Diceros bicornis minor: one gene and its partners. The protein of the gene in region 1 interacts with the protein of each later gene in a pairwise test. Links are inferred from orthologs where the notes say so. Each region holds a gene or a part of one and is shown on either strand. Other genes may lie near its edges.

Evidence for each region.
Region 2: the proteins of CCDC57 (region 1) and TMEM100 interact in binary tests that used the Homo sapiens proteins (3 or more experiments, as listed by UniProt). The two-hybrid records come from large-scale screens. The link is inferred for Diceros bicornis minor from reciprocal best matches to the Homo sapiens genes CCDC57 and TMEM100.
Region 3: the proteins of CCDC57 (region 1) and FAM161A interact in binary tests that used the Homo sapiens proteins (3 or more experiments, as listed by UniProt). The two-hybrid records come from large-scale screens. The link is inferred for Diceros bicornis minor from reciprocal best matches to the Homo sapiens genes CCDC57 and FAM161A.
Region 4: the proteins of CCDC57 (region 1) and PRAM1 interact in binary tests that used the Homo sapiens proteins (3 or more experiments, as listed by UniProt). The two-hybrid records come from large-scale screens. The link is inferred for Diceros bicornis minor from reciprocal best matches to the Homo sapiens genes CCDC57 and PRAM1.

The regions. Positions count from the first base shown.
Region 1 is NC_080757.1:61,588,979-61,595,841, reverse strand, and holds the start of CCDC57 (coiled-coil domain-containing protein 57), read left to right. Parts: upstream 1-3,847; 5' UTR 3,848-4,305; coding exon 4,306-4,469; intron 4,470-6,231; coding exon 6,232-6,365; intron 6,366-6,863. UniProt on the Homo sapiens protein: Pleiotropic regulator of centriole duplication, mitosis, and ciliogenesis. Critical interface between centrosome and microtubule-mediated cellular processes. Centriole duplication protein required for recruitment of CEP63, CEP152, and PLK4 to the centrosome.
Region 2 is NC_080757.1:31,650,014-31,657,672, reverse strand, and holds TMEM100 (transmembrane protein 100), read right to left. Parts: upstream 2,656-7,659; 5' UTR 2,504-2,655; intron 1,051-2,503; 5' UTR 986-1,050; coding exon 581-985; 3' UTR 509-580; downstream 1-508. UniProt on the Homo sapiens protein: Plays a role during embryonic arterial endothelium differentiation and vascular morphogenesis through the ACVRL1 receptor-dependent signaling pathway upon stimulation by bone morphogenetic proteins, such as GDF2/BMP9 and BMP10.
Region 3 is NC_080751.1:25,472,653-25,480,156, reverse strand, and holds the start of FAM161A (protein FAM161A), read right to left. Parts: upstream 3,010-7,504; 5' UTR 2,864-3,009; coding exon 2,666-2,863; intron 1-2,665. UniProt on the Homo sapiens protein: Involved in ciliogenesis.
Region 4 is NW_026691615.1:234,851-241,982, reverse strand, and holds the start of PRAM1 (PML-RARA-regulated adapter molecule 1), read right to left. Parts: upstream 3,006-7,132; 5' UTR 2,991-3,005; coding exon 2,862-2,990; intron 1,601-2,861; coding exon 352-1,600; intron 263-351; coding exon 196-262; intron 121-195; coding exon 44-120; intron 1-43. UniProt on the Homo sapiens protein: May be involved in myeloid differentiation. May be involved in integrin signaling in neutrophils. Binds to PtdIns(4)P.

The DNA of each region.
Region 1 (6,863 bases):
CTCAAGGCCACACAGGTCAGTGCCCAGGCCGGCTCCGCCCTGGATCCTTGTGTTTTTGGGACCCCATGAGAGCCTGTGGGGGCGGGGTCCCACTGTGAGGTCAGCTCCCAGCACCATGAAGCCCATAGCCAAAAATCAGAGGAAGGACCCAGAGTCATGTGCGGTCAGAACTGGGGCCTCCTCGGGCAGCCCTGGGTGCTCCCTGTGTCCCCTTGGGGCACTGTGGTGGGAGGGCGTCCAGCTGCCAGGCCAGGCTGCTCACTCAGTGGTCACTTGGTGGCCATCGAGCTCAGGCTGTATTTCGGGATCCAGGAACCACAGCCCAAAACCAGCCCTTTGAGCGATGGCCCTTCCTGGTTTATGCCACCCCAGGACGGAGCCAGCCTGCCACCCAGTGTTGACATCTGCTCTGGGCTGGGCATGGCTAGGCCCTGGGGGCACTGATAGGAGCAGGACGGCCCAAGCCCTGTCTGAGCTGTGCAGCCTCAGCCCGTTCCTGAGCCCCTCTGGCCTTGGTTTTCTCATCTATAAAGTGGGGAGACTTTTAGAATCACCACAGACGGTGGCTGTGGGAGCTCCATGTGACATGGGGGGGGCCGTCCCATGTGACACGAGACCTGCCTGGAAGCTGGGCCCCTCAGAGCCTGCTAGCTCCATGGGAAAGTCCAGTGCCAGCCTCTTGCCGCCCTTCGGTGTCCCTCCAACGTTCTTACCCCATGAGCATTTACTGAGCTCTGACTGTGTGCCAGGGCGTGGGGACAGTTGGATCCTGTCTGTGCTGGTTGCCAGGGGCCTGGTAGGCTCCCTCAGCTTCCACTGCTCTGTTTCTCCATCTGTGATGGGGTGACCACAGGGTGGCTGCTGGGGAGCTGGCACTAGGGGCTCCCAGGGTGGCGGGCGACTGCCTTGCGGGGTGGGCAGAGGGTGGGCGAGGGGAGGGTGTGAGTCTGGCCTGACCAGCAGGATGGCGGGCAGGTTGGGGCAGTCAGTCTCGGGTAATGTGGGGTCTGGCTTGACCTGTGGGGAGACCGGGCAGGGAGCCAGGTGGAGAGTGTCAGTCATCAGATTCCCAGGCAGGGAGGCCGTCGAGGGGCCCTGGCCCGGGGGCTACTTGGGCCGCTGTGTGTTGATGCCAGCCCTGGTGGGCCCAGGAGGCAGGAGCCCTTGGAGGGTGGGGGGCGTTGCCTGGGTGGTCACTAAATGCTGGTCAGATGAGTGAGGGGATGAGGCAGTGATGGGCCTGAGCTGGGGGGTGGGCACTGGAAGACAGGGCAGTAAGACCCAGGCAAAGATGGCAGGTGCTGAGGGGCTCTGTGGGCCTGACTCTGGTGTCCAGGATGTCCCTTTGTCCTCCCACAGGCATCTGTTGGTCTCTCAGGGTGTGGGGCATGGAGAAGGGGTCCCGGGGAGGCCGAGTGGACAAGCTTGCAGACCTCAGAGGGGCAGGGGGGCTGATTAGGGGTGACGAGGCCCCTCACAGGAAGCTGAGCGCCTGGGCTCTCAGCAGGGCCCACTGGCAGCCTCCACCGTTTTGCTGGCTGTGACGTTCGGGGGCAGGGGTGCACGGCACCTCTCTGGGCCTAGCACCCTGGAAGCCTTAGCTAGGGCTCAGGTGAGAGGGTCAGAAGTTCTGGGGTTGCTGGGAGACTAGAGGAGGGGCCGGGAGGACGCATGTCACTGGGAAAGGGTAGTAGGAGCAGGCCCCTCCTATGGGAAGCAAGGCCATGTTGACCCTGGGGCTGCCCTTAGGGTTAGCACCAGGGTCAGGGTTGGGGTTGAGGTCAGTGTTAAGGTTATCATAGGGTTAGGGTTAGGGTTGAAGTGGGTTAGGGTTGGCTCTGGGTCAGGGTTAGGGGCCAGGGATGGTGAAGCACAGAGCTCACATTCGTTGTTAGGATCTGTCCTTTTTGAAGAGGGTGCGTCCTGTTGGCCCTTTTGGTTTACAGAGACACACCACTGAGCCCCTTCACTGGGGCTGAACCAGCACCCGCATAGTTCACATGGTGTTTGTAACCCTCAAAGCAATGGGGAAGGAAGCATGTTCACCCCATTTTATGGAGAAGCAAACCGAGTCCCGGAAAGCTACAATAAGGCAGAAGTGGAGCTGGGATTTGAACCCTGGCTCTGTCACAGCATGTTACCCCGGTCTGGAGGCAGTGAGGGTGCCCAGGGCCTGTGAGATGCAGATTAAAGGTCACGGGACCCTCTGGGCTCCTCCAGGTGGGTGTGGCTATTTTCCTGTGGTTTCTGTGCAAGGATAGGATCATGTCTTCCAATATCCATGAGGCTTGAATGACTGATCTGTCTCTGATTCTAACTCCTGGACCTCCCTCCAGGAGCCACCTCCTAAAGCAAAACATTTCTTATCATGAACTGGGTGGGACGTTTGTCCAGCACTGGCAGGACCAGCTTGGGGACAGGCCCCAGGCAGCCAGCATGCCATCAGGGTGGAGAAAACACGGATGGACAGGAGGGGCCGGACCAAGAGCATGGGGGAGACTGTGTCCCCAGGCCCCTGTGCTCATCACTAACGGGAGCCCTGCGGTGCCACCGGACAGGCGGGCTGAGCAGTGTTTTGCCTCCACTTGTTGCGACAATGCTCAGACGCCAGTGAAGGGTGTCCCTAAGCACGGGTTGGGGGCCTTGGTGAAAGTTTCACTTTTGCCTATGTGAGGCAGGCTGCCTGCAAAGGTTTTGTTTCTCTTTTTAACTTGTAATGGAATACACAAACACAAAAGCGCACAGGTTACGAGTGCAACAATGATGAATTCTCACAAATCAAACATCGTGCAACAGCGCCCAGAAGAAGAGCCTCCAGGGGCCCCCAGAGCCAGCCTGGGGCAGCCCCACTCGGCCTGACCGCCGCCTCCCCTTCAGCATGAGCGCAGTCGTCCGGCGCGCCCTGTCTCTGCTGGAGGATCCACGGAGGACACTACATCTCTCGGGGGCTCGGGTGTTCGCTCCCCGCCACGTGCAGACCCACGGATTGCAGCCGGCTCCCCCACGTGCAGCTCCGGACCCCCTCCCACGCCTCCTGCGCAGTCGCACCCGCCCCGCGTGCAGCCCCCGCCCAGGTCGGTCCGAGACCCCTGCCCGGGCTCAAGTCAACCTCGGGGCTACGAGATGGGCGTGCTGCGGGAGCCCAGCTGTGCGAGGGAGGGCCGTCGCGCGGGGGAGCCTCGGCCGCCTCCCGGTCGCCCCGCCGCCCCGCGACGGTCTGGAGCCCTTCTCACTCGGCTCACCCTCGCCCGGAGTCGGGTGGACCGGGGACCACCGCGCGCCCCTCGGCGCCTGCGCGCGGGGCCGGGCGGCCCGGGACCCCGGCGCCGGGGCTAGCGTTTCCGGCCGGCGGGACCCGAGCGCTGCACCGAGCGCGCCTGGACTGCGGCCGACGGACTCGGGTCGCCATGGCAACGCGGCGGGACCCGAGGCCGCTCGGAGTGGGCGTTCCGAGTGAGGCGCGGGCGCCGCGGGACGAGGCCGGCTCGCGGGGGGCTCGGGCGGGGCCTCGGGCCGAAGCGCGGGGGTCGTCGCGCGGACGGCGGACGTGCCTGGGTTCGCGGCTTGTCGGTCGCTCGCCAGAGAGCAACCCGGGGCTTCCCGGCCCTGCCGGGCAGGGCGCTGCGTGCGGACGCCCAGCCGGGGCCGGGCCTGCGGAGCTCTGCGCCCGGCGTGGACCCCGCGGCCCGCACCGGGACGGGGGTGGCTGGAGAGTCCGCCGAGGCCGTGCTTGCTTCCGAGTGGGCCTTCCGGGACCCGGCGAGGTGTGCCGTGCGGTGAGGAGATTGCGGGGTGGGGGTGGGGGCGGGGGCGGGGGCGGAGCGGCCGAGCTCCACAGCCCGTGAGGACGGACTCAGACGCGGCAGTCTGGCCGAGGGTGGGGTTCTTACGTTGTTTGGCACTGACAAGAGTTGCCACAGGGGTGCGAAGATTTCCCCTGTACGTTTGCCGAGATTCCCCAGAACGTTCCGCTCGCCTTGCCACCGTTTCTTCAGCAAACGAGGACACTCGCGCTGACGCAACCGCGGTCTGCTCCCTGGGTTTCTTCAGGCTCGGCGGCGGGGGCCTTTGGCGCCTGGAGTCGCTCACGGGGTCCCGCGAGCACCGTTCGTGTTTCCCTGCTCCTCCGCAGGCTGCAGCAGTTCCTCAGTCCCGCTGTGACTGTCACGCGTCCGTGTTCCATAGAAGGCTCTCAGTGGGGGTTTATCTGGTGTTTGCTCACGAGTGCTTTCAGTTATGCGTTTTGGGTGAGAAAACCTCGACAGTGAAATTGTGTTCTCAGTGCGTCTACTCGGGAGGCACGTGATGCCGCTTGTCTTAGTTGGACTTTGGTCGCTGGTTTGGGCGGTGTCTCCGTCATGGAGTGACCGTTCTCCCCTTGTGAGTGATAACCGTCTTGTGGGGAGATCCTTGGAGGCTACGGAAATGCTCGCTCATTTCAGCAGCGGCAGTGCGAGTTTCCTGAAACGGTAATGAATGTCGTAGTTGCCAAATGGCGATTTTCCCATGTCGGTGGTTCCTTCGGCATTGATGAGTTGGACTTCTGCTGTGCGAGAGAACCTCCCCTTCTGCCCGTTTTTCTGTTTATTCAGTGAGTTATTTGTGTCGGTACAGATATTTTGTTTTTATTCCATAGGTTATAACCCATTGCTGTCGCTCTCTTGTTGCCCTGATTGTCCGGATTTGGGCATTAGGAGCCCCTTAAGGGGGTTTGGCTTCTGTGTCCTCAGCCTTTTTGAGCACTTCCTTACTTTCTGGCATCACAAGATGTTCCAGGCTCACCTTGTGGTTTCCTCGACCTAGCCCAGAATCGGTCATTTCTCTAAGGAGTGCTGGTTCTTTTAGTGTAGACGGTGGTGTTGAGAAACCCAGATGTGGGTGCAGGTGTGCTCACTGCTACTGGAGTGGGGTTGCTTTTTAGCTTTCTCAGTGGGTGGAGCTAGGAAACATGCATTTGTGTACACCACATACATCGGGATCTGTTTCTATGTCTCCATATCTGTGTATTTACTAAAAACTGTGAGTTTACCTCAACACCTCCAGTTCTAGTCTGTTACCAGCGGGTTCCTTCCACAGTCCTTTTCCTCTCTGAATCTGGCTCCCATTTTCCTCAGTAGATTGACTTACTTGCTCAGTGCTAGACTATGCATACAGTAGTCTCAGAATTGCCAATGCATAAGCAAACCTACCAAGTAGACTATAGTATTTACGCACGGTTGTTTTGCTTTTGTCCCTAGAACATATAGTCAAAGTGCTGTTTGACAGAGTTGCTTTAGTGTGTTTATGTTATTCCTTTGTGATAAGTTAGGTTCACTTGTTTCTGTTTGTGTTTGGTTTTGAGTCTTTACTGATTTTCGGTTTCCCTATGTGAAAGAATCATTTATGTGGTTGTGAAAGTCAGCAGAGTCTAAGCTCTTAACTACAGCACTATTCAGCTTCTCTTCCATTTTATTTCTCATTTACTCATTATCTTTGTGGCTGGGGGGGGGTGGGGCGGGGCCGGCGGCAAGGGAATTTGGCAGATGTAAACTCAAATAAAAAAGCACTGCATGCCCTGCCCTGGAGTGGTGCCCCTCACCTCCAGCAAGTGCCAGTGATGGGATTAAGATCTTTCTGTTGCTCAACTCTCTTATTTCAGGTTTTACAAATGGTTGAGTACCACTTGGCAGTCAGTGAAGGACAGAAAGACGCCTTGGGGTCACAGGCCTGTAATTTTCACTCCCTAGCCCCCCTTAAAGATGATGCGTGCTGAGTTTGGCTCTCACGGCTCACGTTGGGGTTCCAGAGGGTGGCAGCGTCGAGTCCGGTGTCTTGAGTGCAGAGCAGATGAGCCACCTCTGGATTTTCCTTCAAGTCCCAGGAAAATATTTTGTAAATTCAGCTCATTAAATGTATTTACAGAGCAACAAGAAGACAATGTTCCTGACTGAAGTAGATTTGGGTTCTTGTGCATTACGAGTGGTGGGGCTGGTCCTCATAGTGGTGAGTGGAAAGCCAAACCCATCTGGGGCTGCATCCTTTCGGGGAAGGAGATGAAAAGAAACCCCCTCTTCCGATGTGTCTCTGACCAGCCAGTGTGCCTAATGGGCTTGTTTGTAAGCATCTCATGACTTTTAGCCTGAGCGGATGGTCCTTTTGTATAAATTTTGGAGTCTGCAACTGCTTTTGTTTTATGGAGGTCATGTAATGCTTTTCCAATTAAGTACTAATGAAATGTTTTTTCTAAAACAGGTTGCTCCAAATTTGTGGTCAGCCAAACAGAAGTGTGATTAATTCCACTGTCACATCTGCGGATCAGGTGACCTGCAGGTTCACCTCTGACTTGGATGTGTTTTGCTTTGATGATCTGGTCATCTTGGCGAGGGGTAAGATGAGGGTGGGCAGAACCATCCTCACCTGCTGCTTCCCTGTTTATCCAGGAGGTAGTCAGTGCAGCCAGCTTGCTGGAGAGCTGGGGCAAGGGCAGGGCAAGGCCAGCCCCTCTGCAGAGCCCACTGTGTTTGGGAAGTTCTTTCTCTTCCACGTAGCTCCTTTTCATACTTCGTTGGGACTCATCGTTTGTCTGGAACTCTTTCCTCTTAACTACGATGCTAGCTGTTAAGGGGTCCTACTTGCAGCTCTGGCAGTCTTTGGCCCTGTCGTAATTTGTGAAGCGATATCTCAGAGACTGTCACTAGCTGGAAGCGCTGACTCCAGACCCTCCTTCTCTCTGTGCCCTGCGTGTGGAGTGTCACACCCTGGGCATTGTTCCCTTTGCTCTGACGAGGCTGGGCCCCGTGCTCAGGGTGAACCACTACAGACCCCGACCGTGGAGGTCGCCACGTTGCCTTGTTATTCCACGCCAGGGCTTTACCTGAGCTTTG
Region 2 (7,659 bases), about 30 Mb from region 1:
ATTAGTTTATTCTTCAAGAAAAAGTACCACCAGTGATGAGTTACTGAAAGTGAAAAACCAGATGCCAGAGAATCAACTTATTGGAAAAAAATTATCACAGAATTTCATAGAAGTATGCAAAGTCCAAGGCCATTTAGATTCTCGGCAGGACATTTTTATGATACAACATCTTAAAAGCATGAGTTATTCCTTTTGGAAGCAGGTCGATGGTGTGCCAGAACTGTCTGATTATTTTCTCCTCTTTTCTTGGCTACTTTCCAAGGTGAACCAAATGTTGTCTGATGCTGTGCACCTCCCATGACCCCTAAAATGTTTAATGTAGAGAAAAAGCTGATTTTTCAGTCTTAAAATAGCCCTTAGAGTTAAGTTTGTCATTGAAGAAGACACAAGACGTTACTCACAAAAAAGAACCCCCTCCACCCTCCCACCCTCAAGCCACCCCCATTCCTCTAGTCCGCTGCAGGGCCAAGTCCATTCTCTCCCACCCATTCGGGGTGCAGTGCACCCATTCGGGGTGCATTGGCTGACAGAGTGAGAGCAGCTATTTCAGACCACATATCCCATTTGGTCTCATTCAGTCCTAAGCAAATAAGCTTCTCTGATTTGCCACGAGAGCCGTCTGACTCTCCCGTCTCTTGGCTTTCTTGCTCCTCTGTCTCACCTTCCAGCACAAGGCACTGGAGGCTAACAAAAAAAGTCCCGATGAAAGAAGGACCAGACCTAAGATGGAGATGATGGAGCCGTGGGAATTGAAGCTGTAAGCCACAGCAGTGACCACGATCCCGGCGATGAGGACCACCACGGCGAAGGGGATGATGCAGCGGTAACAGGAGAGCTCGGCACCCCCCGTAGCTGCCGTCAGCTGAATCTCACTGACCAGGGGAACCAAGGTGACTATGACTTCGCTGTTGGGGCTCTTCTCCATTGTCACTGGCTTGGGAGACTTTGGGGCTCCCAGGATCTCCTTTATGGGCTCTTCAGTCATTTTTACAGCAGCGTCTCCTGGCTGAGTTCACAGACTAGACCTGGGGAGTCTTACCACGGTGGAAACTGTGGAGGAGAAGACAGGAGATGTCAGCTAAATGCATCAGAGTGAGCGGGGGAAACACCACTGTGATCTTTTCTAGGAGGCATGGATGCATGTGAAAATCAACTGTAATTTTTTTTCTAATTGTATTTCTAATTCTCTTTGTATTGGGCAAAAAGCAAGATAAAGCAGATAACCATAAAGAAAGCGACAATATAAAAAGCAGGAAGCACTTTACAGTGTTTAATATACCCTGGTGGTCTACAAATGTTTTACAAGCCTTTCTGTTTTGTCTATTGCTTCTTTTTGCTCTAAACACACAGAAAAGCCTCAATCCTAATCCAAAGACAGCCTCATTCAAGAGGAGAATACATTATAAACAATACTTTGAACAGTTTGTTCCACAACTCATAGCAACTTAGACTCTGCCAATGTTTCCGGGCATAACATGCATTCTTTCCAAACTATCACCCATTCACTGCCCACCAAATCAATGTCAGACCAGCAGCCATCGTACGAATGATGGTCTTCCACATCAACTTGACAGTCAACAAGGCTTTATTGTGTTAACTATTGAACACAGCCTAAAATGTGTCCTGGGACCACGCTGGGGATGCAGTTCAGCAAAAATTCAGTGACACTAAGGCTAGGATTTGTGACCTAAAATGTGGCAATATCCTCCAATCTGTTTGAAAAAGGAAAAATAAAAAAAATTCAACAATTTTGTAGGATATAATTTTGTGCTTCCTTACATTAAAGATAAGATCAACTATTAGAGTAATTAGTTTTTAATTCATAAATTTTCCTTTAAACTCAACAAAGAATTTTGACATTCCATGCACCATGACATGCTTAAAAAAATAAGCATGCTAGATTTTCAGTTAAGTTTCACACGTTCATTTTTTCTCACGCACGTGTGTACAAAACTTGCCGCCAGTCACCTAAGTATTTTGAAACTGAACATTTCAGGACAAAATCTGACACTGTCAATCAAAAGCATCTGGTTGAAATACTGTCTATGAGAAATCAGTGAATACTCTTGCCTGCTGCTCAGACATGTTAAGTCATTCTCTTTTGTCTTCAAGAAGCAATCTAGCTGCTAAAGAGTTGAGTAGTTAAGTTATTAAAAGCATTCCAAGGAAGATACTTGAGACCATTTCAATGAGATTAATACTTTGAACATATTAAGCATCCATCGAAAACAAATTGAACCCCAGATCAAACTTCACAGGTTCTTCCCTGTCCTGGGAGGTCAAAATATCCCTCCCTGGGCAATAAAGCTAAATACTAGAGCTGCCTATTTGCATGTAATTTTGTCACCAAATTAAGCACTGTTGTCCAATGATACCCTAAATACTGGCTAGGCTAGTAAAAGGACATTTGAGACTATGTTTGAAAGAAAAAAGTCTTCACTCCAAAACCGAGATTTAAGCTAACCTGAAAATGAAGCTCTGTCCCCAAACTACTTACGTGTACCTCCCAGAGAAGCAATCCATTACCAGGGAAACCACTCGACTTGGGAGGGAAGAAACAGCAACGCTTGAGCTTCTTCGGTCAGCTTCTGGGAAGAGAGCCTGTAACAGCACGTCTGTTGATAAAATGACAGGACAGGGCTCTCCCCCGGGGAAAAGAAAAGATGTAAAAATACTGTACTCTATAGCTGACTTTAGATCCTGGAGCTCTTTCTTCCACACTACCTCTGTTCCTAAATGACGCCTGTCTTTCCCTCTCTCTCTTTTTATTTCCTCCCCCTCCGGATTGCCCCTCCCTGCCACTTTTTTTTCCTCTCCGTTCTTTTCCTTGCCAGCAGATTCCGACTTTTGGCTTCCCCCAACTCTGCTCAGTGACATGATAAGTCAGAATCATTCTAGAGTCCCCAGAGACAGGAGCCAGTTTTTACTTTTATTTCTCTTGCAGCATGTACTCAGTAGACTGCTTCACATTACTCATTTTTTCCCCAGCCAACCTCCAGATCTTCCTCCCGCCCATCAGGCATTTTCATAAGAAAATCCCCGAGTCAGCGCTGCAGACCCAGCTGAGGGGACAGAGCCGGAGGGACAGACGCTTTAGGGCGGCGGGAACAGCTGTGAAGTCATCAGGCAGCTGAATTCAGCCTGTCAGCCAGCAAAAATCCATGTTCCTAGGTTTCTCCGGGATTCTTTATTTATACGTGTGTGCTGGCCATCCGAAGCTTAAAATCCTCCTTGTTTGACGTTAATTCATTTAGGAACCAAGATGCGAGACACAAATGTTGTGGTTAAGGGGGAAAACCTGTCATCTTGATTTAAACACGATTACTTACTACTTGGGAGGTAACTTTGGCAATGCTGAAATTATCATCATCATCATCATCGCTGTCATTTACAGAGCACCTACTATGGGCATGGCACATGCAATGTGCATGCATTGACATTAATTCTCACTAGCTTATAAATGAGTTTATAAATAGTTTACAAATGAGGCTCGGAGAGGTTTAGTAATCTGACAAAGGTCACACAGAAAGAGAGAAACTCTTGTTTTGAACCCCAGTCTTTATGGGCACATAAATCATGTGGGGAGCTTGTTAAATGCTAATTCTGATTCAGTAGGTCTGTAACAAGCTCCTGGCTGATGCCAATCTACCGCTCCTTGGCCCACTGTAATGAGCAAGGTATTTTAAACATTCAAAGATATATGGCTTGACACGTCTCGCCCTCAAACAATAAAATTAAAGGTCTATTTCCCACTCCCACCCTGCAAATGGCTTTATAGTTTTCTACTTTATTATAGACAAGCTATTTGAAATTTTAAAGCCCCAGATTGTCTTTTTGAGGCCAAAAGTGAGATAATACTGGGTAACTATTATATGCCTGTCCCTATACTTCTGTAGCTAAAAGTTACCCGTCCTCTATTTTTTAATCTATACAAGTTTTAATAACTTCTTTTTAATCAACACAGCCAATCTACAAATCTAAATTAAATCTCGGAGGAAACTGGTTTTCCTTCTCTCTCTCTCTGGTCGTTAGATTTCTCTAAGCGCTAACAGGGGGCCTGGGTGTCTTCTGGCATCTCACCTCTGTTCCAGGACAGCCCACTCTTTCCAGCCTCGTCTAGGAACAACACCTTGACGATTTTGTCATAAAAGCAGAAGGAACAGATGTTCTTTTCTCTAGAATGGAAGCCAGAGAGAGGGCTTCTTCATTTTAAAAAATAAAGTTGAGGTCCCTGAGGCCTGGCTGAGTTGGGGGAACCCAGCCTGCTGAGGTCGGTGAGTACCTGGAAGGCCTCGGTGCCACCATCCTCACGCTTTTTAAAATGTGGAGCCTAAAGGGACAGAGTCATCAATCAGGAGCGCTGCCCCTTGGCGTTAAAGATAAGGGATCCTTAGAACCAGGGCATTTCAGCCCTGGCCAACCCTGCCCTGGGAAGATGGTGATATCGAGGGCTACTGGCTACATATACTGGAGGCTCTTGAGCTCCTTCAAAGAGCAACAGTCCTGCCATCTGTGAACTGGGGCCTTTGCCAGGCAATTCCTCTCTAGTTCCTAGCGCAGGCTGCTTTCTCTCCCAAATAGTCCAATAACCCCACTGAAACTCTGAATGTCACCTGATCCTGTTGAAGATCATGTTGCCCCATTACCAAAGTCAGAAGTGCAGGAATCGAACTTGTTCCAAAGAGAAGCCAGGGGCAACTTTTCTCCATGACGAGAGCCCCTGGCTGAGTCTATAATGAGGGACAGTGAGAGTATCTGTGCGCTGGGAGCGTGCGTGGGCAGGTCTGTCATTATTTTTCCTAATACCAAAGCCTTCTTCCGGCTTCAGGTGTTGCATTCACCCTAATTCTTCTTCAGAGGGTCTGCATCTGCCTACATACACAGATGCACATCTCTAGACTCTAAGTAGACCACTGATGATTTGTATTGATAAACACAAAGAAGTAGAAAGCTTGGGGACAAAGCGGAAATTGTATCTGAAGAATAGAGACCTATCATTGTACCCGCCCACACATGCAATTTTAACTGACTTTTACCTCTTCAGATTGAAATTCAAAGAGAATTCCTAGTAATCCATGCCTGATGTCTTTGAATGTTTTTTCCTTCTTCCACTCTCTGCCTATAAGATATTAAACACCCCTAGGAATTCCTTAAGGGACACCTGCCCCCAAATGCAAATCTCATCCACAATGCGATCAGCCTTCTTTCTGCAAGCCTTCTTTCTGAAGGGAAGGGAAATCTTTCTGGTTTGTTTTAAAACGCATGGCTCCACGAGATTCCTTTAAGTTTGGAGAACTTTTCAGAAAGCTTCCAATGCACGAATTAATCTATACCCCGTTTCCCCATCCCTCCGTAGGAATTCAGCATTTCTCTCCCAGATCTTTCAAAAAGCAAGGCAAAGATTCTTACCTTTCCCAGCCAGAATCGGACTGAGACAGCTGCCAGCCCCGGCTAACAGCAACCCAGAAAGGGGGATGCAAATCACTGCACTAGGGACCGTAAACAAAGTTCGCCACAAGGCTTAAACACAATTTAGGGACCGGAGAAAAATTGGTGAGACGAAATCCCTTAAATGCTGCTGTATTTTGTCCTACGTTTCTATCAGAATGTAATCCACATTTTTAAAAAGGGAACCAAGTTTGAAAAGAATGTTCTCCTTTGTTTTTCTCTCCTTACATACTCATTCAGGCTTTCATTTTCAAGATTTTCCCTGTCCAAAGCCCCATCCTGATACTAGCCCTCTGTAATACTGTGAACCTGCAGAAAAGATTTTTAATCCTTGTTCTATGCTTCTAAGCGGGTGTGGAGTTTGGAAAGTGTGTGGGGGTAGGGAGTGGCACGGTAAACTAATCTCTTTCGCTGTTAACAGGCAAGTAATAAAAGGAGTAAAGGAAGAAAAGGATTGATGGTGAAAATGGCATTTGGTGCTTGTGTGGACCCTCTCCTTAAAGTCAGAGGAGTTATCTTATCAGCGCTCTTCATCAGAGGATGGCAAGACACCATGGAAATGATGGTGGACTGGAAAACCACATCTCTGATGAACTGAGGCAACCCTTCACCAAAGGCATCATAAACAGCCGAGCTAGGAGCACTTGTTGTTCCAGAGAGAATTCCCCCAAATTTGAAAAATCTCATTTTACTTAGAAGCAAGACCAGAAACAAAGTTACTTGGGTGAGGGATACAGAAGTACAGGAAGGCGGGGGAGACGGTAAATGCTATGATAAAGAGAAGATTTTGCCTATTTCCCTCCAATAGAAGCCAAGGGTTCAGGCTCTAGGTTGGAAAGGGGGACATTTTGATTTTGCCATTGAGCATATGCTGTTGAAGACCTGGAAATTTCTCCTTTGGGAACACACAAATTTTGCATTTGTGAAGAGCACCCCCATGTGCATTCAATTACTCACCCGTATTTACTTTCAGCCTGCTTTTGCTTGGTGTGGTTGAGTTGGCTAATTTCCAGCAGCCCTGAAGATGCCAGGTCCTCCCGGCCCTCAGTGCAACCACCACATGCCTTTGATCTCGGTCATCATCCTGTCTGATTGGATTCAGTGAGATTCCGGAAGCAGGCCAATTTTTCTCCTCTCCAGCGCTTCTTTTAAGGGTGTATCTTCATTTATGTTCTGAAATCATGGACATTTTGGAAAGTGATCTGAGCTTGTGTGTTCATTTTGGATAACAGGTCATGCTATTATTGCTTCCCCTAGGCACTTGTCTTTGAGGTCTAAGATCTGCTGGTACCCAGAGGAACGACGGATTATACATTAAACATAAATATATATTTTACTATTTGCTGGTCAATTTCCAGGTACCACAACTCATAAAATATATATTTTACTATTTGCTGGTCAATTTCCAGGTACCAGAACTCATGTGGATATAGAAAGGAAAACATACATCTTTTAGCTACACATCCTGGTCAACATTCTCTTACTCAGTTTGTTCTGAATAACTATGAAAGATCACATAAACATAAAAAAACAGAGCCACTGAAATCAAATGACACAGTGGGACCTTAGGGAGGGCTGAGTAAATCATCTCTCGCTTCAACGAGAACTATTGTCACTCCAACCTCGGATGAGAAGAATTGATTTTCTTGTTTTAAAATCCAAATATATGCTGAAACTGCTATGATCCTGATACATCCCCATGTTCCTTGCATAATTCTTTATATTTGTGTATATCATTCTTTGAAGACCTAAGATGAGAGAGCTCAAAGATAAGGAGTTATAGCAAATTGGGCTGACATTTTCCCAAAACAGGTGTGTAGCACTCAGGTCAGCCTCCTCTAATGGGCTGTGGGTCCTGTGTTCAGGGGCTTGTAGGAAGCCCACCATACTTGCCTTTTTCCAGGGAAGGAAAAATAGCGACCTCACGCTTTGCCACTCTTCTTGATACCTGATCATATGGGGGCCTACTATGCCCTTTTTACACACACAATCTCTGTCTGGCCTCTGGTGACAAATGTCAGTTGTCCTGTCCATAAAATGATGTGCACATGGGGTGACTCCAATCCACTCTTAGTCAGCACATAATGTCTAGGCTTCAGCATCAATCTGGTGCTGGGGATTTGAAACCACGCTGCTATATGTAAAATTTTCTAAAAACCAACAATCTGTGACATCCTGTAAGGGTCAGTTAGCTTTTCTTTGTTCCATGTT
Region 3 (7,504 bases), on another chromosome or scaffold:
TACTTCTGCTTTGTCAGACCCTCCAATCATTCTCCACAAAGCCATGAGTCATCTTTTAAAAATGTAAATAGGAACATGTCATATCTCTTAAAAGCCTTTGAGGACCTCCCACTGCACCTAGAATAAACACTTAACCCTTTACCTTGGTCTATAAGGCCCTGAATGATCAGGCCCTGCTTACCTTTCCAACCTCATCTCCTCCCCTCTTTCCTTCTCTCTTTTCCAGCCCTGCTGGCTTTCTTTCAGATACTTAATCACACAAAGCTCTTTCTGTCCCTATCTTAGGGCTTCTGCATACGCTGTTCCCTCTGCCCGGAATGCCTCCCCACCCCCCACTCTTCAAATGGCTGCTCTTTCCCATCTATCAGGCATGGACTTAAATGTTAACTCATTTAAGTAAGTTCCCTCCAACTTCCTTTTTTAATCATAGTAGCCTGTTCATTTCTTTCCCGACATTTCCCATCTTATAATCATTTGACTGTTGATTTTTTATTGTCTAAGTTCCCCAGCAGACTGGAAGCTCTGTGATGATGTGGACTACGTCTGCTTCATTCACCACTGAATAGTCAGTGACTATTAATAGTCAGTGACTTACTAAATGCGGAAAATTTGTTGAAAAAGAGAAGGCCTCCCTGTTGGGAGAGTCAGTGAAATTTTAACAGCGAATTATAGAATGTTGCTTTGCCCAAGTCATCATCAGTCACACAACAAGGCCTATGATATGTCCTTGATATGTCCAACTGAGGCTAGATTCAAGGAACATGCCTCAGGGCCCAATACGGGCAGAGAGTCCTGCAACGGTGTGTGTGTGTGTGTGTGTGTGTGTGTGTGTGTCTGTGTGTGTGGAGTGGGGAGGGAGTTGTCTTTGGGAAACCAAAGGACTGAAAGGGGCCTGGGACAGTTGGTTCTCTAATCAGTCTTGTGTAGTGGCTACAGCATCTGAGTTTACTACATTTTATAGATGACAAAGTTGAGACAAATTAACCTTTAAAAGTCAAGGTGGAGACCCAAGGCAAACTGTGAAGAAGGCAAAGCTTGGCTCCTGCACTCTCTTTCCTGTCTTTCAGTGCATCTTCCCCCAGCCCCAGCGTCCTCTGGCTATCAGGCTTACTGTGGCAGCTTATCCAGGTTTGCTTTTGGATCCTTCAAGTGTGGTGGTCTCAGAACACTGACAAACTCACAAGACTTAGCTTTGTTTTTGGGGGGTAAGATCCTGTCCCTTTGAAATTAGCTCATTATATAAACTAGTCTCTCCTAAGGTAATAAGTTTCCAATACAAATTTGCAGTTTAGCAAGGCACTCTATACGTGGAACTAGAGAAATGACTGACTCCTCTACCACAGTAAGCCAAAGGAGAATGTAATCTTTGGGCAAGTTGTTCAAATCACAGGCCCACTGGCAGTTCTTATTATTACTAATTTATACAAACTGATCTTTACATATGACACACATTCTCTCATTTGGTTCTCATAACATCCCAGTGAGACAAGAAAGAGAGACAATTATTATAGTTCTCTTACACCTAGGGAAACTGAGATTGAAGGAAGTTACATCTTAATATCATCTGGCAAATGGCAGAGAATGGATCCTAATCCAGGACTCCAAATTCTTTTCCTCCATTCAAATCTTTTTCCTCCATGACTTTGCTCCCTTTGTTGGCTACTAAAACTTGTGTTGAATGGAAACTTTATCATGAATGAAAAAGGTCCTAGGACTCTGAGCCTGGTTCAGGTTCAGGGTCTCAACCTGCCTTACTCTAAATAACCTCAAGTAGTTTATGTCTGTTGCTGAAATATTGACATTAAAAGGTGTTGCTACAGATTTTCTCATTAACAGTTTTAGTGTAAAGAGATTAGAATTCCAAAATATCCAGTCATTTCTATTAGCCCTAGACCATAATGTTTTTTTTTGTATGAGAAGCTTTGGACAAACAGTATTAAGAATCTTTATCTGGGGGTAAGGAGGTTTATATCTGCAGATTGCTAGTTAAAATTCAAGGTTCCAATCTTTTAAGTGAATAGAGCAGATGGCAGACTCGGCCCTCTACCTAGCAGACAGGTGTTCACAACACATTTGACACTGAAAATTGATTAGTGAAAAGGCTCTCACTCGAGCCTGAAGAGCTGGTTAGGAAACATCGGAAACTCAGTAATTTGCTTCTCTGGATGCTTAACTACATCTGTGTCTGATTTACCCACTGAACTCCTGATGGTTTTAAACACTGCCTCTCATGTATTGTGTTAAGATGCACTAATAACCAAGACTTTAGGTGACAACAAAACACAGCTGACAGCACAGCTGATTCACCTGATTTTTTTTATGAGTTATCCACTATGGGGTAGATCAGTTTTCCTTAAGTTAAAAAGGAAATATCTACTCCCAACAGATGCTAGAGCATAAGGAGTAAAGTTCTGTATTTTGCACTCTCTAGAAATAAAGTAAATGCTCTCTCAACAATCTCTTTGGTGAAAATTAAAAGACTTTTCAAAGCCTCGGTTTTGAGTATTTTCCGCGGGGGCAGAAAGAAGGTGGTGGGCAAGGATTGCCGGCTAGGGAGAATCTGGACAGGGCGCCGCGTGTCCCAGCCCGTCCTTCAGCCCAGCGCGGACGCGGACCAGCCCTCAGCCGGCCCCCAGCCCTGGCCCACATCCCGCCCCTGCATTACCGGCGCCCGCGCCGGCCGCACCGCCTCCTCGTCTTCTTCCTCTTCCTCGTCCTCCTCCTCCAAGGCCGCCGCCGCCGCCGCCAGGGCCTCTAAGGGGTCTTCGCGTTCATACTGGGCGACCCGCGCTCCGGTGTTGAGATTTCCCAGGGTTTGGAGACTGCAGGCCACCGGCTTCGCCCCTGAATGGGAGGCGGCCATCACCTCGCCGCCGAGGCCTGAGCGCCCGCGCTGGCCCGGGGCGGGGAAGCTGGCGTGGCCTCAGGCGACCCGGCGGCTCCTTGCTTGAGGAGGGCGGTTGCGAGGGGCGCGGTAACTAGGGACGCTACAGGGGCCGCGAGGGGCCAAAAGTCACTCAAACTCTTCTCCCGCTGCCGGAGACCTAAGACCGGCGCTTCCTGGATAACAGGAGTCATTACTCAGTCTTTGCTGGTTTAGAGGGTCGGCTGGCGGAACAGAGCACCTCTTCCCCAGTTTCTCGCCTCACCGCCTAAACGTAGACTTCTCACATGAAACAGATCGTTTTGTGCAAAAAAGAGCGCATGAAATAACATGTTAGGAGGAGATGGCGGCGGCAGGAGAAAGCAGAGGATGCTATTGTGTGGTGATCTCAGAACAGCGGCAAGGTTTGCATTCTGCTACCTAACATGGTTCCCCCGGGAGCCAGAGAATGGGAAGGAGTACATTTTTCTCTGATTGACTTGAGAGCTAGCAGAAATCGACCAATCCGAAAGAGGCTGCTAGTTATCCCACTCGTGTTCTTCTTGCCCTGACCAATAAAAGCCAGAGTTCGGTGGAGCCTGGCCCACCCACCAGTGAGTGACAGTACAGTTGTATGAACTGGGCGTTTGCTGCTTGGGTTCACCAGCTTTATAGTAGTGGGGTTGGAGGGTGCAAGCGCTCACCAGTAACCACAGACACACTCCATTTCCACCTCACCCTACCACCATTTCCCGCGCGAGATTTGGGTGCTTCAAATGGCGCCTCCCCGCTAGGCCGCGTGCCTGTAGGAGAGGCCTAGCCTTAAAAGAGCAGATGAGGTGCAGTCTCAGCCACCTGCTACCTAAGCTCCTGCTTTCTGAGGCTGAGGCTGCTGCAACCTCCCCCTCTCTATTCTTCAGCCTCCTTGTGCCCCCGGACCTACAACCCTACAACCAGCCATTGCCACCATAAAGTTAGGGTATGCAGCATGCGTACCCCGTCTGGAACCCATCTCTGAGGTCTGAGCCTTTCTTGTTTCTAAGCCTTTCTTGTTCGCGGGTCTGGAGTGTGAGCACCTGCAAAATCCCCTACTCTCCCACTTCCTTCAGGCTGCTCTTTGTTTTTGCTGAGATTTGCTTCGCACGCTGGAACAGATGCTGGCTGGATTCTGAACAGAAGCCAGAGCTGGAAGCCCATGAGGTATGGACACCCCAAGTGACCAGAGTAGGGACTTCCGGTCTTTCACATGCAGCTGGTTCTGTGGCTGCATGTGCCCCTCTTGGGATTAGGTACAAACCTGACCCCAAAACAGCAATAGAGGTCTACATGCTGAAGCACTGCAAATGGAAGATTAGGCAAGAATAGAATAGAAAAGAAGGAATGAGTGTCGAGGACACGATGTGTGTGTATGTAGAAGAGCAGAAAAGTTTCCACTCACCAGCAATATTCTAAATTTGCAGATATCTGATAACATAGCCTCAAAGTATACAGAACAGAAATGGACAGATCCACAAGAAGAAAATGACACATCTTACATCATTATAGGAAGAATTGTTTTTGCGCTTTTGAATTGAGATGGAACATATACACTGAAATGAATAGATCTTAAAAGTATAGATAGATGTATTTTGACAAATGCATACACTTATGAAATCATACCCTTATTAAGATATAGAACATTTCCATCATCTCAGAAATTCTCCTTGTACCCCTTCCCAGTCTGTTCCCCATTCATCCCCTTGACTGTTCTAGAACTTCATATAAATGGAATCATACCATATGTACTCTTTTTGCTCAGCATACTGTTATTTTTCTTTGAGATTCATCCATGTTGTTGTATATATGAGTAGTCTGTTTCTTGTTAATTGCTGAATAGAATTCTTTGCTTAAAGAGATAATAATCTTCCAATACTGGAAGAATTTTCCTCATTTTTTGGTGCTATTCATAATGTAACAGACAAGACATACTCATATTTAATCTGCACTATTAACGTTGTCTTTATCACTATCTTAAATTTATCCATTCACCTGTTGATGGTCATTTGGGTTGTTTCCATTTTTTGGCTGTCAATTTGGGTCCTTCAGGAAGCAGACACCAAGAAGGAATTAGAAGTGCAAGAGATTTACTGGGCAAAATTCCTGTGAAAGAAAAAGGAAGAGGAGCAGGAAAGTCTTCAGGCCAACATACGATCTGACACCTTAGAAAGGAGAGAGGGAAGGGAAAATGTTGTGTAGGAGGAGGTTGAAACTGCAGTGCAGCTCTGAGAAAGTCTCAGCTAGTTAAAAAGAGAGCTCCAGTGCTAAGATTGCTCATAGAGGAGTTCTGCGATGGGCAGAAATGGCCAGACCCTACCAGCCCTACCATCTCAATCATTGGCTAGAGCTCCCTGGGAAGAACATGTTCTCAGATGGAACACTGTGAAAAATCCTCAAGTGCTGGTATGCTGGTAAATGGTTACTGAGAGACTCTCTGGGGGAAAGTGTGTGTGTGTGTTTGTGTGTGTGATGACACACTTATTGTAAATTTTAGTGATATAAAGGATTGTAGCATACAACTTAGAAATATCAAAATATACTCTTTACTGTGACTTCCTCATAAACAATTGATTCTCCCAGAATACTTTCATTAGTTTTTGCTGAACTCTTGTATCTGAAGCCAGCCTGTGGTTGCAGTTGATTAACAATGTAGTTCCAGCATGGATATTGGTTGATATTTTTGCTTATATTAATAAGATGAAAGTGAAGTAATCAAAATGTATGTCAGAATTTCACTTGTTTTTCAATATCGTGAGCAACTTCTTCACTGAAATAAATACTTTTCTAATATTGAAAGATTTCCTTAATTTTTTGTGCTATTCACAATGTAGTGGCTACAGGCACCACACAATTTTAAGTTTTTTTCCTGCATTATGAACATTTTCCCTGTCAATCACTTTAAGTTTAAAAGTCCAATTTATAGCATTTGCTGATTTACATGGTGTCAATACTCCCACCAAGGCCAATTCCAAGCTACCAATGTGACATCACTGAACATGAACTTGGGGAAGGACGTCCAGTAGCACACCATTATATAGTTTTTCACTGCAGAGATATAGTAGGTGCAAATAAGCTCAAGAGCATATAAATATAAGTAAAATATGGTAACAGAAGAGGAGGTAAAGAGTTTTGAGAAATTATCTTTGTTTTGAACATTATTTAATTGTAATTTAGCAAAACTAATTTTTAATAATGGCTGTGTTTAACAAATTAGTAATGGCTGAAAATTTTACAATCAACTCTCTCAAGTCCGTACCAGCAGGCTCCAGCACACTGCTGTATCGATTGACTGCACTCCTCAGAGCAGATCCTGTCTTTAGGGGACATCCAAGCAGCTCAGCTATATGGCTGCCACATTTGCTACTGTGAATAAAGCAGCTGTGAACAGTCCTGTGGAAGTCTTTGATACATTTGTGTACATATGAAGGGGTATAGAAGATTTGAACAGCACAATTAACAATTAGATAATACATAGCTATTGGATGATAACATAGCTAATATATATATATTAAAAAAACACAATTGGAGAGTATACATTACTTTAGGAACACATGGAACATTATAAAATGTAACCATAGTACTAAGCCATAAAGCTAGCATCAACATATTTCAAAGGATTAACATCAAACAATCAACATTCTCTGATCACTTAATGCAATTAAGTTAGAGAATAATTAAAGAATAACTAGAAAAGCCTTTTCAGTTTGGAAACTTTAAAATACTTCTAAAAAACAATTCATAGGTTACAGAAGAACTCATGACAGAAATTATAAAATCTGTAGAATAATTATATTTAAATTACATATGAAATAAATATAGTTGCTTAGAAACCACTTAAAATATACATTAAATATAAATTGTATATTTTATTTATATATTAATATGTAGTATGATAATACATAACATAATATTATTATATAATTATACATTAACTTGTAATAATTTTTTGTGTGTGAGGAGATCAGCCCTGTGCTAACATCTGCCAATCCTCCTCTTTTTTTTGGCGAGGAAGACTGGCCTTGGGCTAACATCCGTCCCCATCTTCCTCTACTTTATATGGGACGCCGCCACAGCGTGGCTTGCCAAGCAGTGCGTTGGTGCGCGCCCGGGATCCAAACTGGCGAACCCCGGGCTGCTGCAGCGGAGCGCGCGCACTTAACCGCTTGCGCCATCGGGCCGGCCCCTTAACTTGTAATAATTTATTAATATATTTAATAACATATATTTTAAGTGGTTTTTAAGCCACTAAGTTTTGGAGTAATTTTTTAATGCAGAAGTAAATAATTTGAACACTTGGTTATCAGTATAGCTTCTAGAATGCTTCAGATGATTCTAATGTGTTACAGGTTGGAGAACCAAGGCTCTAATTCTTCTCTAGGATACCTGACTATTTCCTTAGTTCCATTTGCTCTCTGGTCCTCTTGCTCCCTGCTGCAGTAGCAGAGTCTACATCTCTTGTGCTAAAGCAACATTGACTACACCCATGGAGGCTCTGGCTCCTTACACCACTTCCAGACTCAGATGAAGCACTGAACCAGTGGCCCAAGATCTGGCTTCCCCAGCATCTGACTGGAGGCACTGGGCAAGAATCAACACCCTGGGACA
Region 4 (7,132 bases), on another chromosome or scaffold:
GGCACCCTGGCAGGTGGTGGGCCCGGCCCCGCCACCAACAAACCTCTGACTCGGGGGCTGGGGCTGGAGTCGTCTGTGGGTTCCACGTCGTCGTACAGCTCGTAGGTCTCATCCGGGGCCCTGCGGAGATACCCCAGGTGAGGGCCTCCTCCGGCCACACCACCTGCGCCCGCGCCCCTCGCTCCCCACACTCACTTCAGCGCGTCGGCAGACAGACGGGCCTGGAAGTGGATCCCAGTGGAAGAGTGGGTCCTCCGCAGAGCTGTGGGGAGATGGGAGCAGCAGGGAGGCGGGCAGGCACCGCCAGGGAGCCCCTGCCCCTTCCTTGCCGCCTGTGCCGCCCTGACCCACCTGTGGCCGCCGCCGAGGGTCTCCGAAAGCTCTGGATGTCCCTAGGGCCCGGGGGCAGCGGGGGCTTGGCTGGAGGGGGTCCCAGGATGCTGACGGAGGGCAGAGGCCTCCGCCGGGGTTTGAGCCCCAGCCTGGACCCTCTGCTAGGAGTGAGAGCCCCCGACCTCTGCTGCCTGGCTCCAAACCCTGGGCTGAGCGGGAACCTGGGGCTGCAGCCCGCCACGGCAGTGGGCAGTGAGCTCTCGGAGACGGAGCCAGGGAGCGGGGGCTTCCTCGGGAGACCCCCGAGGAACTCAGCCTGCGTGTGCTTCTTGAGCAAAGTGCTGGGCTCAGGCTGTGAGAACTTGCGGGGGGGCCCCCGGACCTCGAGCTGCAGAAGATTCCTGGGGAGCAGGCTGACCTCGGGCTCCGAGGAGGTCCTGGGGAGGCCGCCCAGCTCGGGCTGCGGGGGCTTCTTGGAGAGCGCTTTGAAATCGGACTGCTGCGGCCTCTTGGGAACCACACTGACCTCAGGCTCCGAGGACGTCCTGGTGAGGTCACCAAACTCAGGCTGCGGGGGCTTCTTGGGGAGGCCACTGACCTGAGGCTGTGGGGGCTTTCTGAGGTTCGCATTGAACTCGGGCTGCGGAGGCTTCTTGGGAAAGGTACTGAACTCAGGGTGCGAGGGCTTTGGGGTGGCCTCATTGGGCTCAGGCTGCCGGAACTTCCTGGGGAATGCACTGGATTTGGGTTCTGTGGGGGGCCTGGCAGGGTGGCTGAGCTCAGGCTGTGGAAGCTTCTGGCCAAGTGCGCCGTGCTCAGTCTGCGAGGTCTTCTGAGGGGCCTCACCAGCCTCCGGCTGCGGGGGCTTCCTGGGGAACAGAGTGGCCTCAAGCTGTGGGAACTTTTTGGAGAGTTCGCCGAACTCGGGTTTGCAGGACTTCTTGGGCAGATCAGCAAACTCAGGCTGCGGGGGCTTCTTGGGGAGACCAGGGAACTCAGCCTGCGGGGGCTTCTTGGGGAGATCAGCGAACTCAGCCTGCGGGGGCTTCTTGGGGAGATCAGCGAACTCAGCCTGCGGGGGCTTCCTGGGCACTGCACTGAACTCGGGCTGCAGGGGCTTCTTGGGGTGCTCGCTTAGCTCAGGCGGCGGAAACTTCTTTAGGAGTTTGTTGAACTCAGGCTTTGGGGGTTTTTGGGGGTGTTCACTGGTCCCAGGCTGAGAGGCCTGGAACTTTGCTTGAAGGGTCCGAAAGTCCTGATGGCTCCCCTAGGGGACATGGAGCCAGTCAGGCAGGGACTCAAACACACAGGGGTTGTGGAGAGACAGCCCTGGGGACACACCCCCTTCCCTAGGCTCCTCCTTTTCCCCACCCTCTGCCCTTGGCCCTCTTCTCTGTTGGCTGAGGACTCCCACATTCCATGGGCTCCTGTAAACTACACCCTCCTGACCTCTCTGCTTGGGCTCCGAATGCGCACCCAACCTCCCCCCTATCAGCGCACATTCCCCCCATCAGGACCCGATTTCACCCCCATCAGGACCCGACCCTCTCCCCATCAGGACCCGACCCCACCCCCATCAGGACCCGACCCTCTCCCCATCAGGACCCGACCTCACTCCCATCAGGATCTAATCTTCCCACATCAGGACCTGACCTCACTCCCATCAGGACCCAATCTTCCCCCCATCAGGACCCGACCCTCTTCCCCATCAGGACTGGACCTCCTCCCCATCAGGTCCCAACCTCAACCCTATCAGGACACAGTCTTCCCCCCATCAGGACGCGACCTCACTCCCATCAGGACCTAATCTTCCCACATCAGGACCCGACCTCAACCCCATCAGGACCCAATCTTCCCCCCATCAGGACCCAGTCTTCCCACATCAGGACCCAATCTTCCCCCCATCAGGACCTGACCTCACTCCCATCAGGACCCAATCTTCCCACATCAGGACCCAGTCTTTCCCCCATCAGGACCCAGTCTTCCCACATCAGGACCCAATCTTCCCCCCATCAGGACCTGACCTCACTCCCATCAGGACACAATCTTCCCCCCATCAGGACGCGACCTCACTCCCATCAGGACCTAATCTTCCCACATCAGGACCCGACCTCAACCCCATCAGGACCCAATCTTCCCCCCATCAGGACCCGACCCTCTTCCCCCCATCAGGACCTGACCTCAACCCCATCAGGACCCAATCTTCCCCCCATCAGGACCCGACCCTCTTCCCCCCATCAGGACCTGACCTCACCTCCATCAGGACCTGACCTCAACCCCATCAGGACCCAATCTTCCCCCCATCAGGACCCAGTCTTCCCTCCATCAGGACCTGACCTCCCCGCCATCAGGATCTGACCTCACCCCTTCAGGGCCTGAGCTCCTGTCCGCCCTACCTCCCTCGGCCCCACCTGCTGCTCCTTAGCCTCCCCCTCAGTGGGTGGTGCCTTCCTTCTGAGCATCCTCGAGATCCCCTCGTTCTTGCACCCCCTAGGTCCCCAGTCCTTTCTGTTCTCATTTCAAAATACCTCCGGAATCCAACCACTTCTCACCGCCTGCACCACTGTCACCACTGGAGGAACTTGCCAGAAGCACTGTCCCCCGTTGCGTGGATTATTGTAACAGGCTCCTCCCTGGCCTCCCGCCCCCCACCCCATTCCTGGTCAGTCCCCCCACAGCAGCCGGGGGAAGCCTGTTAACCATGAGTTGGCTTGTGCCTCTCTGCTCAAAATCCGGCAGCCTTCCTTCCTCTTCCTAGGAAGGCCCTGAACCGTCCATCCAGCAACCTCTACCTGGTCCCCAACTCCTCCTCCCTCCTCCTCCTCCCCCCCCCCGCCCCCCCCCGCCCCTAGCCTGGGACACTTCCCCCCACCGCGTGGTTCTCTTCCTCCTCCTCCTGCTCCACTTCTCTGCTCCAGTATCTCCTTATTAGAGAGGCCTTCCTCCCAGACCACGCTAATTTAAAAAAAACAATTCCCCCTTCCCAATACTCTCCATCCTCCCCAACCTGCACGATTTTTCTCTTAGCACCTGCCGCCCTGTATCATACTATTTATTTCACTCATATGGCTTTTTAAATGAGCAACTCGGCTCATTCACTGCTGTCCTCCCAGTGCCTGGCACCCAGTCGGGGCTCCGTCAACATTTGCTGAAATGAAGAATATACACAGGGCACAGAGACAGGCGTCGACTCAGCCATGTCCAGCCTGCCCCTCACGGACTCATGTAGACGGATGCAGAGAGACACTGAGAGACCTGGGGGCAGATGTGGGTGTGGGGTCTCTCTCTGAGGCCCAGACACCCAGGCTGGCGGTCAGGGGCGCTCACGGTCGACGGCACCCCTGGGGCCCAGCATGCAGGCCCCCATGCAGCCTCTGTGGCTCATGCAGTCTGCCCTGGGTGCCATCGCGACCGGCCGCCAGCGGTCACAGACAGGCAGAGGCACATGTATGCCAGGCCTGCTCTGCCTGACAAATTACCCCCGAGGTGGCCCCGCTGCAGGCCCCCAATCTCCCCCGGGGTCAAGGAGATTGGGGGAGGGGAGGGGCAGAACCATGTGGACTGTGCCCCTGTCTGTGCCTCGCTTTCCCCATCCCGAGAACAAGGAAGGTGGCGACTCCTTTCTGGGGCCTGAAATGCCTCTGTTAAAGCCCCACTATGGTCGGGTGGTCGGGTGGTCGGGGCAAGGGCTCCCAGGTGACCCACAGGGCCAGAGAATCAGGGTCAGCAGGTCACCTTGGATGACTGCCGGGGTCGGGGGGGCAGCAGGTGCGTAACCCAATTTCTCATTCACAGGAAGCCCCTGTACTGCTCATCATAGCTGCCTGCTACCCACTTGCTCTTCACACGGACATGGGGGAGGGGAGTAGTCCCGGCAGTCCCCCTGTCCCCCTTACGGTCGCAGGCTTGGCCTGGACCATAGCCCCCCGGAGCACGAGGTGTCCCAGAGACGTGTCTTGGATGCTTCCCACCTCTGGGCCTTTGTGACGGTCATTCTCGTTTTCCAGACGGCTTCCTGCCCCTCTCTGCTGCTCCCCTCTTGGAACTCCCCAGTTTCCACCCACAGCACCCCTTGCCTCCGGCCCGTGGGGGCCCTCCCAGGGCTTGGGGACTCACTCACCATGGCTGCAGGCGGGTGGTGGGCCGTGGGGCGAGTGGGACCCGAGCCGGGGCTGCTGCCTTCAGGAAGTGACTGTGGCTTTTGCTCCACGGGCCCCACGAGGTGGGGGCTGCTGGCGGGTGGGGAGGGCAGAGGAGGAAGGAAAGGAGGCGGAGACAGCCCCAGCCTGTCCCTAGATCCTGTTGGGCACTTCTTAAGCCCCTGCCTTGCCTGCTACTGTCTCCACGCCTGGTGCATCGGACGGCAGCACATTCCCAACCCAGTCACTAGTTTCTCGACTCTGCTGTCCCCCTCACTCTCCGCTGACCTCTGGGCTCCACCGGGGACTCTGTGTCAGGCCCTCAGGACCTCCTGCCAACGGAGGCAGGCCAAGGCCCGCTCCAGCCAGGGCCTCCACGGGAGAGGTGCTCAGTGGGGGAGGGGCACAGTCAGCTCCAGGCGGGGAGACCCAGGAGTCGGGTGAGTGTGGCGGGTGAGGCCCTTCTGGCTCGTTGCCTCATCCGCCTTCGTCATTTCAACACTTCCCCGCCGTCCGATTCCCCAGTTCTGAACAGGACTTCCTTTTTATGTCACACGGACTGTGGATGGCTGTGGCTGGGCAGAGGGCTAATTGGGATGGCAGATTTGGCGTTGGGTGGGTGGGTAGTGTCCACGGCCTTGCCCCTTGGGGAGGGAGGGAATCTAGGGCACCCCAGGTTCCCAGAGGACAGAGGATGGGAGGGAAATGGAGATGGCTGGGAGGCCAGCGAGGAGGGGGTGAAGCTAATGGGCAGGACCATCGCTGTGCGATAGAGTGTGAGGCCCGGCCAGAGAAGGGCTCAGGCCCCAGGAGGTCAGTGACCTCGGGCACACAGATGAAGAAGGAACCCCTCCCCCGCCCTGGAGACAGCAGAGGCCTGATTCTCAGTTTGGCTCTGCATCAGATCACTTGAGGAGTTTACACAAAGACAGAAGCTCCTGGAGATTCTGACCAAATTGGTCTGCAGTGTGGCCTGAGCCTGGGGATTTCCTAAACACTCGAGGGGGGATTCTAACTCACAGCTAAGCTGAGAAACCTCGAGACCCCACTAAGTGCAGGTCCATGGAGGGGCCTCAGATTCCAGACCATCCCAGGTGAGGCTCATGCTGCTGGTCCAAGGATCACACCTGGAGTAGCAAGGATGTAGATGTTTCCAGAAGGATCCGGAAGGATCCAGTTGAGACAGAGAAGGAGGCTCATTTGTCTTGAAGAGCTCTTCATTTACCTGCCCTGCCACGAAGGCCACAGGCAGCACAGTTGGAAACAACCTTGCCTGCTTGTTCCTATGTCTGCTTTAAGAGCACAGCTTGAGGATTCTGGAGCCGCTGTGCCTGTGCCTCTCCATTCCTGCACCGACACACACGCATCCTGGGCCACATTCCCAGATGTGGGTCCCACTCCAAACAGGAGTCCCGGAGGCCAAGGATGACGAGGTCTGAGTCCTCGGCACCAGTCACAGGCTGACTGACCCTCCCAGTGTGCGGTGAGGGGAAGAATGAATGAAGAACCAGCGATTATTGGCCGAGAGCACACAGTAGGCGCTCAGTCAAGGTAAGCTAAAGGGCTGAATGACCGCTAGTGACTCCCCAGGCACTCTGTGGACACCCCCCGCCAGGAACTCGCAGATTGGAGGGTCCCACCGGGCAGAGCCCCTGTGGGCCGGGCACGCAGGCTCCCGGCTCGGCCCCCAGGGGGCGCGTCCCCCCCCACTCCCCGTTGCGTGTGTGGCGTCTTCGTGGCGGCCGTGAACGTGGACAGGCGGCTCCACTTGGAGCTAGGGAACCGGAAGCCCAGAGAAGGGAGCGCGGGCCAGGGTGCGCCTTCGGGTCTTGCGGGGGTTCGTTGGGGCGAGCGTCTGAAACTGCGGGCCAGGGAGGGGTGTTGGGGTTCCGAGCGCGCGGAGGGAGCCCAAGCTGGTGTGCCCCATCGCTGCGCCAGAGCCAAGGGCGGCGACAGCGGCAGCCAGGGGGGCCGGGCTCAGACCCACGTGGTCCGAGCGCGCGGGGGGGAGGACGGAGCACGTGGGCGGCCGAGCCCGCCCGCGGTCGCGGAGGTGTCGGGAGCGCGGGAGGGGGGTGCTCGGGCCCGGTCGGTAGCAGGGTCCGGGGACGCGCGCCCAGGAGCCTTCACCTCCCCTCTCCCAGTCAGGGGGGAGGGTAACCGAGCCGGCCCCCACAGGTGATGGAGCGGGCGGTGGCCCCCCTCATTCCTTCTCCCTTCAGACTGACACTCCTGGGCGCCCTCTGCTGGGCGGAGCCGGGCCCCGAGAGCACTCGGCTTGCAGGCATCCTGGAGTTAGGGTGAGGGGGGACCCTCTGTGGAGTCAGAGCTGGGCCAGAGGGAGGGCAAGGACAGCGGGAGCCCAGAAGGGGCACTGGGAGCAGTAAGACCTCCCAACTGAGCGGACAAAAGTTGGCAGGGGTGAGGGTCAGAGGTGGTTTTCCGAGTGGACAGGGTGCCCAGGCCAGGTGGTGACCCAGGCTCCCTAGGCCTCGGGGCCGTTTCAGCTTGCCCCAGAGGGCAGCAGGGGGCTGTGGGCTTCTTGTATCCATGGGAGGGGCTGCTGCATCTACGTGGGTGATGGGGTGGGGAGAGGTACCTGGACCAAGATGTTGGCTCTGGGTCTTTCTGGAAAGGTCTGACAGACTGGGAAGTGGCCT